Linked DNA regions of Cricetulus griseus. The protein of the gene in region 2 binds, or shares a complex with, the protein of the main gene of each other region. Links are inferred from orthologs where the notes say so. Each region holds a gene or a part of one and is shown on either strand. Other genes may lie near its edges.

Region 1 (4,291 bases), on a different chromosome or scaffold from region 2:
CCTGTGAGGACTCCATACTGAAAACCTTCCTCAATCTCTGTAGTTTTTAGGATTAATATTTGTGAGGTGTGTGTGTGTGTGTGTGTGTGTGTGTGTGTGTGTGTGTGTGTGCAAGCGCTGATGCCAGAAGAGGACATCAAGTATCTTCCTCTATCATTTACCATCTATTACTTTGAGGCAGAGGCTCTCCCCTGAACCTGGGGGTTCACATTTTCTCAGCTAGCCCGTGAACATCCTGTCTCCACCCTCCTTGAAGCTGAGATTACAGCTTTTTTAATAATAAGTAGAGGTGGGAATGAAAGGGTCAGGCATTATGCTGGCCTGCCCATTACCTGGTGGAATCCACTCAGGCAATACCCTGGTCAGCCCAAGGTTCCATGGGAAAGAAGTCTGCACGCAGGTGCAGAGGACCCCTTTAAAAGATAGGCCCCTGCACCTTTACGCTCTGTCTGTCTCTCTCTCCCCGTTTCTCTGTTTCCCCGCTCTCTCTCTCTATGGCGACCGGCCATGGCGGTCAGCCATTACCCTGTTCCTCTTCTTAGTCTCCCCATTCTACCGGGCCTTATAATAAACTTATAGTCAATATGTCTGTCTCAATATTTCTCTTTTCTTCTTTTTAAACAAAAGAATAACATGCAGGATACCCAGTTTGTCGCATGGGTGCTGGGATGCCCTGATCCTCCTGAACCATCTGTTCAACGCCAGTTCCAAAAGGATATGGCAAACCATGTAGGTAATCCCAGCATTTGGGACGCTGAGGTAGGAATATCGTTGAGCTCAAAGCCAGCCCTTGATAAGCAGCAAGACTGTCTCAAAAACATTTAAGGTGAAAAAAAAATATTTTAGAAGAGACAAAACTCGAATCAAGGCCTTAAAGGACGTAGCAATCTAACGTCTCCACAACCGAGCCAGAAAGGGTAAAGAGTGGTAGGCAGGAGATGAGGCTAGGTAGTGTGAGGTCTCTACTTTCAGGTCTTCGCTACCAGCGGTGGCAAATAAATGGCATTCGGGCCTTCGTATACACAGCTGGATTTACGTTAAATATGCAAATCCCCCACACACGATTTACAAGCACAAAGGTTGTTTCTTAAACTGCAACTCTGTGGGAAATGAGTTGGAAGCTTGCGACAGAAATGAAATCACATTTCCAGGATCCCGAATGAGCCAGCCTACGTAACATTTTACAACACGGAGGGTGATTCTGAGGGTTCTCCCCTCGTGGGTGCCGCCTCGGGGGCAGGGGACACCCAGTGTGACGGCTCAGCAAATGCTGTCTGCCGGTCACTCATTTGTACTGCACTAGTACAGTCACGCGAGTAGGGAGCCCGCCGCCTTCGGCGAAGATGCCTGCACTCCCTCGCTTCTGCGCCTTCTCCCCTCATCCCCGCCTTCCCTCAGAACCGACCCGCTCTACAACACCAGTGTCCGCCTTCCCGGCGGTCCGCGCCGCGCTTCCGGGGGCGGGGCCCAACCCCGGTCGGTTTCCACGGCCCCTGTGCTTTGGCTGAATTCAGCAAGGCCGGTCCCCGGAAACTGGACTTCTACTTCCGGGTCAGAGCCATGGCGGTGGCAAATTCAAGTCCAGTCAATCCGGTGGTCTTCTTTGATGTCAGCATCGGCGGCCAGGTGAGGTGCGGGAGGCCCGGCGGACCTGCGCGGCTGGGCAGGACACGGGTGAGGGAGGCAGCCGAGACTGGCTGGGCCAGGGCGGCCGAGGTGGGCGCTTCCGAGCTGCGTGGGCTGCGGTCGTGGACTGAGCCTTCTTGCGTCTCCCGTCACTTGCAGGAGGTTGGTCGCATGAAGATCGAGCTGTTTGCAGACGTGGTGCCTAAGACGGCAGAGAACTTCAGGTGAGGAGATGCTCCACTGAATCAGCGTGGCTGAGCCCGAAGCCGGCCTCGGGGCGCTCTTTGCAATGTCTGCCTCTGTCCATCCGTCCACTGCCTTGTGCTCTGTGCTCTGTGTATTATTGCACTGGCCGAATAGCTACCGGGTTTGACCGTTCCTGTGTCAATTTGTGATATTAGTTTACATGGCTGCATGCCCTGACATCCGGCCGACCAGTTAGTGGACTTGCTGGCCCCACTGTTTGTACCCTCATCTCCCGATATTAGAGATGCTCCGGGCAGCGATGGCATGGTAACTGTTCATTGTTTCTTTCCTTTTAGGCAATTCTGCACTGGAGAGTTCAGGTCAGTCTCAGATGTGTTTGACCTCTATTCCTCCTACTCCTGAAGGGTGTCCTGGAGGTTTGGTGAGGGTATTGGGGAACCATGGGCAAGTCTTGAGTGGTGGAAGATGATATTCAGAGGGTGTCTTCTTTATCGATGCGTTCTTTAGCTTGCTTCTATCCAAATCTTTCTGAGAGTCCTTTTAGCCTCCAGTGTGTCCCAAACGGAAAGGACCCATGGTTATTTGTCATCACTCCAAGTCTTTCTTTTTGGTTACAGAAAAGATGGTGTTCCAATAGGATACAAAGGAAGCACCTTCCATAGGTAAGGCTTTTGGCAAACTGTTAATGCAGTCATCACTTGGTATCTGTGCAGGCAATCCTGAACACCTGAGTACACCTATGGTAGATTAGGTTTGTTGTTTAAAGTGTCATGTCCAGGGCTGAGGATGTAGCTTGGTGGTAGAGAATTTTCCCAGCATACCTGAGACCCTGGGTTCAATACTCAGCACCACAGGCACCGTAAGTCATCCTAGATGTAGAAATGATGGCAAGGAAAACACTATCAGTTGGGTGCAGGTGCAGTTCCATAGGCTTCTATACCCAGCTTTTATGTGGGTTCTAGGGATCTGAACTCAGGTCCTCATGCCTCATTAACAAGGACTTTACCCACTGAACCATCCCCCTGGTTCCAGGTAGAGGCTTTGGTAATAATTACTATTATCAGGCAGTCATCTGCAGGAACCTGACCTTCTTGAATGCCTTGCTTTCTGTGTTTACCAATTTTTGTTAGGGTTTGACAGAAGTTGTTCCACTTTAATCCTGAAATTTTTGTGTCATCCATATCAGGGGCTTTAGAATTATGGTCTTTAATCCTTCCCAGCATCCTTGTGAGGTAGTATGTGTAATCTGCCTTCTTTAAGGAAGGAAACTGGGGCTAAGAAAGGACTATGCCTGGGTATATAACAGCTTACATTACCCTGTGTGTGTGTGGCAGTCCATTTCACATATATTTGCTGTTGTTCTTTCTTTCCCCCCAGATTTTCATTAAGCCCTTGACTTTTTTTTTTTTTTTTTTTTTTTTTTTTTTTTGTAAATATGTTATTTCTTCCTGACAGGTTTCAGCCCTTTTCTGTTGTTCAGGTGCTCACTCATATACCTTAGATCAACACAAAGATGCCCCTGGAGCTTAAAACAAGTTATGGTTCGTAATCCCTCATCTTGCTCAACTCCAGGGGTGAAGACTCAGTCTCTAAGCCACGGTGATAAACATTGTACTTCAGAAAAAATTACTAAGCTGCTATGTTGGTGACCAAACCACTGAATCCTTCCCTCGGGAATTTTTTGTTTGTTTTGTTTTTACTCTGTTTCAGGGTCATAAAGGATTTCATGATTCAGGGTGGAGATTTTGTTAATGTAAGTACTGCTGTTTTTTCTTTGCTATTCTTCCTATAGGGCTCCAGTCTTGAGATTTAAGAATAATAGCTAAGTTAAATGGAGAGAGCATGGACTAGGGGATGCACTGTAGAATTGCTGGTACTGCTGACTGTGCCCTTAGAACATATACCAATACTAAACTTGAATCATTAACTCCCATTGTCCAAACCTGAGCTTTTTTGTTACCAAAAATTGGACTTTGCTAGTCTACCTATAGACAGATGATCTAAGACCACATTCTTTGACCACAGAAAACTTTGAAATTAGCTGCAGCCCCCCTCCCCCACAGGAAGTGAGCCAACTGCTTGTATGCCCTATTTTTCCTTCCACTTCTGGTGTCCCTCTCTAAAATTGTAGTTTTTTGTTTGTTTTTGTGGTCTGTCTTTTTTCCTTTTGAAAGCTGAGGGGTTTTTTTGTTTTATTTTGGTTTTTGTTTTGTTTTGTTTTTTGTTTCTCAAGACAAGGTTTTTCTGTGGTTTTGGAGGCTTGCCTGGAACTAACTCTCATAAGACTAGGTTGGTCTCGAACTCAAAAAGATCCGCCTGCCTCTGCTTCCCGAGTGCTGTGATTAAAGGCGTGCGCCACCACCACCTGGCTGATAACCACAAGCCAGTTAGTGGCAAGGGGTCAGGAGAGGCAGGCAATTCAAAGGGTGTTTGCTCTGCTTGCTGAGGTAGCCCAAGG
Region 2 (3,100 bases):
ACCAGGGAAGATCTGTGGGTTCCTGAGTCTCTGTGGTATCACCCCAGAAACTTGGGGTCTGCCCACAGCCATTCCCTCCCCCAGGTGGTAGAGATTGTGAAGAAGCTGGAGTCTCGCCAGCGTGGCTGGGAGGAGGAAGAGGACCCTGAGCGTAAGGGGGCCATTGTGTTCAATGCCACTTCTGAGTTTTGCCGCACGTTGGGGGAGATCCCTACCTATGGATTGGCTGGCAACCGGGAAGAGCAAGAGGAGCTTATGGTGGGTCCCACCGTTCCCCTGGCCTGCTGTCTTTAGGGTGGTGGCTTCTGGTCCAGTGCCCAGAGGGCTGGGGCTGCCCATCCTGACCCTGACTTCTGGTCTTAGGACTTTGAAAGAGATGAAGAGCGCTCGGCCAATGGTGGCTCTGAATCAGATGGGGAAGAGAACATTGGCTGGAGCACCGTCAACCTGGATGAAGAGAAGCAGCAACAGGATGTGAGCACTGACGGGTTGTGGTTGTGGGGACACAGGCTAGTTGTCCAGTGTCCCAGAGCCTCCACCCCATAGAAGGGGCACTAACCCTCCAGGAGCAAGCTGGGGAATCAATTAAAACTGGTCTCATAGCCTGGCACCTGGTAGGGATAGCCATTGGGTAGAAGAGATGGGGTAGCCTGCTCACACTTCCTTCTTCCTCCACCCCACATTTCCCTTCTCTAGTTCTCTGCTTCCTCTACCACCATCCTGGATGAGGAGCCCATCGTGAACAGAGGGCTGGCTGCTGCCCTGCTCCTGTGTCAGAACAAAGGTATGGGCCCAGGTTAGGAGCCTTGGCAGTCTGGGTGCTATAGCAAGGAAGGGCTGGGTGCGTACCTGTGGGTACAGCATGGTGTCCTTGGGTCTGCACTTCTGTCTCTTCCTCTCAGACTCAGCTTTGAGCAGATCTCCAGACCCTGAGCCTCTGATTGCCTTTCTCTGGTCCAGAGTCGTAGCACCTGTTCCTCTTCTGTGCCCTTAAGGCTCTGAGTCCTTCATGAAGAAGTGGCCTAAGTTAAATAAATACCCTGGGCCCCAGATCCCAGCTATCTCCTTGGGGAGGTACCCATCTCATGTCTGTTTCCTTGGTTTGTAAGCCAGACATGGCATGTTTACATACTGAGCAGGGCTCTGAAGGGTCCTTATCACCCATACAAAGCTGGGACCCTAGGCCTACTCTACTCAGTCTGTCTGAGGTGTGGGCCTCATGGGTAGTACAACTTCTCTGTCCTCAGGGCTGCTGGAGACCACAGTGCAAAAGGTGGCCCGGGTGAAGGCTCCCAATAAGTCACTGCCCTCAGCTGTGTACTGCATCGAGGATAAGATGTGAGTGTGGCAATGAGGGCAAGAAGCAGGGGGCAGATGTGAACACACCTGTGCATGAATCTGGGTTGCTGTGAACATGGACAGCTCACATTGAGCCCCTCTGCCTTGGTCTAGGGCCATCGATGATAAGTACAGCCGGCGGGAGGAGTACAGAGGCTTCACCCAGGACTTCAAGGAGAAGGATGGTTACAAGCCCGATGTTAAGATTGAGTATGTGGACGAGACAGGCAGGAAACTGACTCCCAAGGAGGTGAGCAGGGTGCTGTGAAGACAGAGCCAGGTCAAGGGTGACTAGGTCAGGATGCTGCTAAAGATACCCTCAAAGCAGAACAGCACTGCAGGGTCCTGACTGCCCACCAGTTGGGGCCTTGTGAGGTGACAGACCCCTGCTTCTATTGCTGACTAGTGGGCACAGCACAGCAGTTACAACAGGCTATCAGAAAGGCTTGATACCTGGGCTGTCTGCCATACCCAAAGTATCCATCCTTCTCTGACTCCCATCCCTACCATATATGCTGCTCCACATTTGCTGGGTTGAGCCCCAGCTCACGGAGGCAGGGCATACCCTGGGTTCCTAGCACCCAGGTTACATACAACCCATGCATGGTGCCCAGCTCTGGGTCCTTGTCCCATTCTCTTTCTAGCCCTGTGGAGCCTAATCCTGGGTTGGGTGAATCAGTGCTCCTGGTCACTGATACGAAGCTCCCAGTGGATGCTTGTGGCTCTGGTTAGGTCTAGCCTGGCATTTCTGATGCTCCCGACTCATGATCTATATCCTCAGGCCTTCCGGCAGCTGTCCCACCGCTTCCACGGGAAGGGTTCAGGCAAGATGAAGACTGAGCGGCGGATGAAGAAGCTGGATGAGGAGGCGGTGAGTCTGTGGAGGTGGGGGGTAGGATGGGGCTCTGTGTTTTATGCTGTTGTAGGATATACTGGTCCTTCTCATCTGTACTGATTTACTCTGGCCCCACAGCTCCTGAAAAAGATGAGCTCCAGTGATACGCCCCTGGGCACTGTGGCATTGCTCCAGGAGAAGCAGAAGGCCCAGAAGACGCCGTACATTGTGCTCAGCGGCAGCGGCAAGAGCATGAATGCGTGAGTAGGAGGCCTGGCTGTGGCTGGGGAGGGGCACTGCACCTCTCTCTCCAGTCTCACACCCCTCTGTGCTCTCTTCTCCCTGCAGGAACACCATCACCAAATGAAGCCACCTTCCTCCCTGTCCCTCCCAGATATATTAAATAAAGTCCCCTCCTTATTTTTTCCTTCCTGGTCATGCTCAGTCTAAGATCAAACCTAGGAAGCAAGGCAGGCTGGGTCTCATCTCAGTCCATGGTCAGTTCTGCAACCTGACAAGTTACTGAACCTCTTTTAGTTTCAGTATTGCCATTTGAGCTGTCAGAATACCTGTTTCACATGTGAGACTTCAGTGAGTTCATTCATATTCACTGATATATATATATATATATATATATATATATATATATATATATATATATATATATATATATATATATATATATGAGAAAGATGGGGCCAATCCTTGAGCCTGTGTGATTTGATGTCTACTAAGTTGAACAGAGGTGATGAGGGGGAAACAAGCGCATGCCCTCAAAGGACATTCCTCTTTAGTTGCTAACTCAGCTATAACAGAAACCCCTCCACCTAATGGTGTGGTCCCTGTCACATCTTGGCTGAATTGGTTTGCAGAGACTTGGTCACATGGGTGTTCACTACCCTGTAATTTCCCTGGTTGCACAGTTTT
Region 3 (3,969 bases), on a different chromosome or scaffold from region 2:
TTCAAGTGGACATACTAAGAACACCTGTCTCATATAGGTAATGAGGCAGACAAGTGCTCAGGTAGGTAAGTTTTCTCCACCCATACCCAGCCCCTATTCCAGCCACATTGGGGCTTCACTGTCCCGGCCCAGACCACTTGCTTAACTGTGCCCATGGGAGGAGCCAAGGCTTTTGAGGGTCTAATAATATTGAGCCATCTCTCCTTTCTTTCTTTCCTTCTGCTATGGAGCTCAGGATAGTCTCAGCCTAACTATGTAGCTTAGGCTGGCCTTAAACTTTGGGAATCTTTCTGCCTCAGCCTGAGTCTATATTTTTTTAAGTCCTTGTTTCAAAATGTGGAAATCAGGAACTCATTATTAGAACAGTGACAGACTAGTACTAGTACAACTGTGTGATGGAATATTGCAATGCAATGTAAAGGAATAGATTGTCTGTACGTCAGGTGTAAAAGAGGCCAAGTTAGAAAGTTAACACTGTATAACTCTCGAGTATAAAATTCTAGGAAATGCAGTCACCCAGTGGTTTGGGTGGGAATCCACAGGGGCACAAGGACATTTCTGGAGTGAGACAAGTTTCTTCTCTTGATTATGGCAATGGATTCACAAGTGTTCACACTTCAGAATTTAGCTAATTACACTCGTCAAATATGTGGTACTCTGTATGTCAATTATACCTCAATGGAACTGTTCAAATAGGCAGGGACTAAGGCATGCCTCAGTGGTAAAACTGAATTTGGAGTTTTATTAGCTAAACAGTAAGTGAGCCTTGGCAGAGTATTTGCAATTTTCTAATTTCAGGATCCCTCTAAATATGGTACTAATTGAAGTTCCCAGGTACAAACCTGAATGGAGGAGATAAATTTGGGAATACTGACTCTCTTTTCTGTGTAGGTCATCAGCTCTGGATCAGAGGACTTCTCTGGATTGTCGTTTCGAGACACAAACTGTGTCGAATGCCAGCTTCCTTTCTTCTACAATCACTGTAGCCTGTGAAAGGTTCCTATCTCTTTAATCTGTGAAGAGATGATGGATAAAGAATTGTCTCAACTGGGCAAGTAGTGCCCATTAGGGTCCAGCCGTCTGTATTGTCCCTCTCAGCGACTCGTAGGGAGCTGCGCGTCAGAGGCCAGCTCGGTTCCTGATTGGCCGCGTGCCTCCAGCGTGCGCGGCGCCAGCGCGGAAGCTCCTAGCCGGTGGCGGCGATGTCTAGCCGGTCTAAGCGGCAGTCTCATGGTTCCACCCGCGGGAAGCGCGAGTCCGAGTCGCGGGGTAGCTCGGGTCGCATCAAGAAGGAGCGAGACCGCGAGCGGGAGCCGGAGGCGGCGAGCTCTCGGGGCAGTCCGGTCCGCGTGAAGCGGGAAGCCGAGCCGACTGCGCGAGAGGTCCCGGCGCCTGCGCCCCCGGCCGTGAGGGTGAAGCGGGAGCGCGAGGCCGACGAGGACTCGGAGCCCGAGCGGGAGGTGCGAGGTGCGCGGGGCCGGGCCGGGTGCGCCCTCCACCCTCGCCTGCTTTCTTCTTTTCTCCCTTTTCTTTCTTTTTTTGAGACAGGGTCTCAGGAACTTGCTGTTGTAGCCAGAGATAACCTTCCTCTCGCCTTCACCTCCTGCCAGTTTTCGCCTGCTTTTTACTTTCCCTTGCTTCTTACGCTTCCCTGTCCAAGGTTGAATCCAGACTGGACTGTCTTCAGGTGAAGACAGTTCTAATATTAACCGTTGTCACGATACATCACGGCTCCCCTTTGTCGAATAGCCCACGTGAGTTAGGTGCTCTGCTGATAGCGTTACAGGTATTCCCCTCTACAGTTTTTGCAAAATTCCTAAGATGCAGGGTCCTGTTGTAATATCTGGAATAAGCTCGTTCAGCCGGGATCTCTCTGCACCCGATTAAAGTACTGACTATTAGTTCAGTAGTTTGGAGACAATTCTGCTTCTCCTGGGTTTTGCAGGAGGTTGTTGTAGGGGTTCTGTATTGTTTTGTCAAGGATGTTGATATAGTGACTACCCTTGGGAGACAGATTGTATTATTATTCCATAATAGAGCTAAAGGGACGTAAACTCACAAGCAGATAGGATACCCTTCTTTAAGGGCAGGGTTTTTTAATAAGGCAACCCAGTTTGAGCACTGGCTCTTTCTATTCTCTTGTGTGACTTGAATCCAGGAACTGGTGAAGATGTCATGTCATTGGCTATTGTTATTGCTTTAATAGACTCTTGGTTTTAGTCAGTGATATCACATGCCTTCCATCAGTGATCATGAAGCTGTGGCAAGCTAACAAATCAGCTTGCTAGTAGGATTAACTCTCAGAACCATCACAATTCTTAGACAAATGGTAGATTTAAGATGTTCAACTTATCTTAATACTTGTGATATATTGGGTTATGTTTTGTTTTTGTTTGTTTTGAGACAGGGTTTCTTTGTGTAGCCTTGGCTGTCCTGGAACTAGCTTGTAGACCAGGCTGGCCTCTGGACTCACAGAGATCACCTGCCTTTGCCTCCTGAGTGCTGGCATTAAAGGCATGAGCCACCACTACCCAGCACCTCATTAGATATTTATTTAAAGATTTATTTATTTATTTATTTATCATGTATACAGTACATGCCAGAAGAGGACACCAGATCACATTACAGATGGCTGTGAGCCACCAATGTGGTTGCTGGGAATTGAACTCAGAACCTCTGGAAGAACAGTCAGTGCTCTTAACCCCTGAACCATATCTTCAGCCCCTATTTATTTATTTATTTATTTATTTATTTATTTATAGGGTCTATTTGCTTTGTTTTTCGACAAAGGGTTTCTCTGTGTAGCTTTGGAGCCTGTCCTGCAACTTCTCTGTAGACCATGCTGGCCTGGAACTCACAAAGATCTTGCCTGCCTTTGCCTCCTGAGTGCTGGGATTAAAGACGATAGAAGCTATACCGCCTGGCTATTTACAGGGTTTTAATAAGTAGTGTTGGCTGGCCTGGAACTTTCTCTGTAGATCTTGAACTCACAGATTTCTCCTGTCTTTCCCTCTCAAGGGCTAGGATTAGTAGTGTGTGCACCACCACACATGGTGAAAAAAAAAAGGTGTAGTACATTTATTTATATATACGTGTGCATGTACTATGGTGTACATGTGGAGGTTACAGGGCAATTTGTGGGAGTCAGTTCTTCTCTCTTGCTCCCATGCACTCTAGTAATTAGATTTGGTGGCAAATACCTTTACTAAGCAGTCTTCACTTGCTTAGATTATGTAATATGTGAATTAATCTCTTGTTGGTTATGTGTGTAATAGATCTAATCTCAGTTTGCAGTTTTTTTGGAATGTTGTCACTACAAGAAAATTAAAAGCTCATCTTAATCTTAGTTGATCAGATTTTCCCATTTCCATGGGAAATATCCATGGGAAATAGCAACAAACAAAACAAAATGTACTTGTGATTTGAGTAGTCTGCTGTCCTCCATTTATGATGCTGTGTAAGAGCAAATCCTGCCCTTACTAATTAAGTGCTCTATCACTGAGTTACATCCCAGCACAAGTTTTCCATTTTAAAGTCTGTGATGGATTTCTTCTCAGCAAAGAATGGCCGAGTGGATTCTGAGGACCGGAGGAGTCGTCACTGCCCATACCTGGATACCATTAACAGGTCAGTGATACAGAGAGGATGAGGAAAAGTCTTGGGAACATATCTCAGCAGTGGAGTACTTAGCCTGACATGTCAGAGATCCAAGGTTTAATTCCCATTACCATACAAACAAATCAGTAGATTTGAGATACAGAATATGGTAAAAATGTTGTAGAAAATTCTCCAAACTCAGCAGTGAACAATTCATTCAAACTTTTCTCCTTTTTAGCCTTTCTGTCTTGAAAATGGTGCTTCTTGCCACGTTCTTTCATGTTGTCCCTTTAAAGTGGCCAAGTGAGGGTGTTTGTTTATTGTGTATCTCTGGCTGTCCTAGACCTCAGTTTGTGACCAGGCTGCCCTGGA

Evidence for each region. Proteins that work in one complex are often made in the same cells at the same time.
Region 1: Sart1 (region 2) and Ppih share a complex: the UniProt entries of both Homo sapiens proteins name them as parts of the U4/U6-U5 tri-snRNP complex. The link is inferred for Cricetulus griseus from reciprocal best matches to the Homo sapiens genes SART1 and PPIH.
Region 3: Sart1 (region 2) and Usp39 share a complex: the UniProt entries of both Homo sapiens proteins name them as parts of the U4/U6-U5 tri-snRNP complex. The link is inferred for Cricetulus griseus from reciprocal best matches to the Homo sapiens genes SART1 and USP39.

The regions. Positions count from the first base shown.
Region 1 is NC_048595.1:32,848,177-32,852,467, forward strand, and holds the start of Ppih (peptidyl-prolyl cis-trans isomerase H), read left to right. Parts: upstream 1-1,491; 5' UTR 1,492-1,560; coding exon 1,561-1,626; intron 1,627-1,785; coding exon 1,786-1,850; intron 1,851-2,168; coding exon 2,169-2,192; intron 2,193-2,450; coding exon 2,451-2,495; intron 2,496-3,543; coding exon 3,544-3,586; intron 3,587-4,291. UniProt on the Homo sapiens protein: PPIase that catalyzes the cis-trans isomerization of proline imidic peptide bonds in oligopeptides and may therefore assist protein folding. Participates in pre-mRNA splicing.
Region 2 is NC_048596.1:53,953,164-53,956,263, forward strand, and holds the end of Sart1 (U4/U6.U5 tri-snRNP-associated protein 1), read left to right. Parts: intron 1-84; coding exon 85-258; intron 259-363; coding exon 364-474; intron 475-696; coding exon 697-784; intron 785-1,247; coding exon 1,248-1,338; intron 1,339-1,452; coding exon 1,453-1,588; intron 1,589-2,119; coding exon 2,120-2,209; intron 2,210-2,311; coding exon 2,312-2,433; intron 2,434-2,521; coding exon 2,522-2,540; 3' UTR 2,541-2,600; downstream 2,601-3,100. UniProt on the Homo sapiens protein: Plays a role in mRNA splicing as a component of the U4/U6-U5 tri-snRNP, one of the building blocks of the spliceosome. May also bind to DNA.
Region 3 is NC_048601.1:64,076,363-64,080,331, reverse strand, and holds the start of Usp39 (U4/U6.U5 tri-snRNP-associated protein 2), read left to right. Parts: upstream 1-1,169; 5' UTR 1,170-1,202; coding exon 1,203-1,467; intron 1,468-3,557; coding exon 3,558-3,627; intron 3,628-3,969.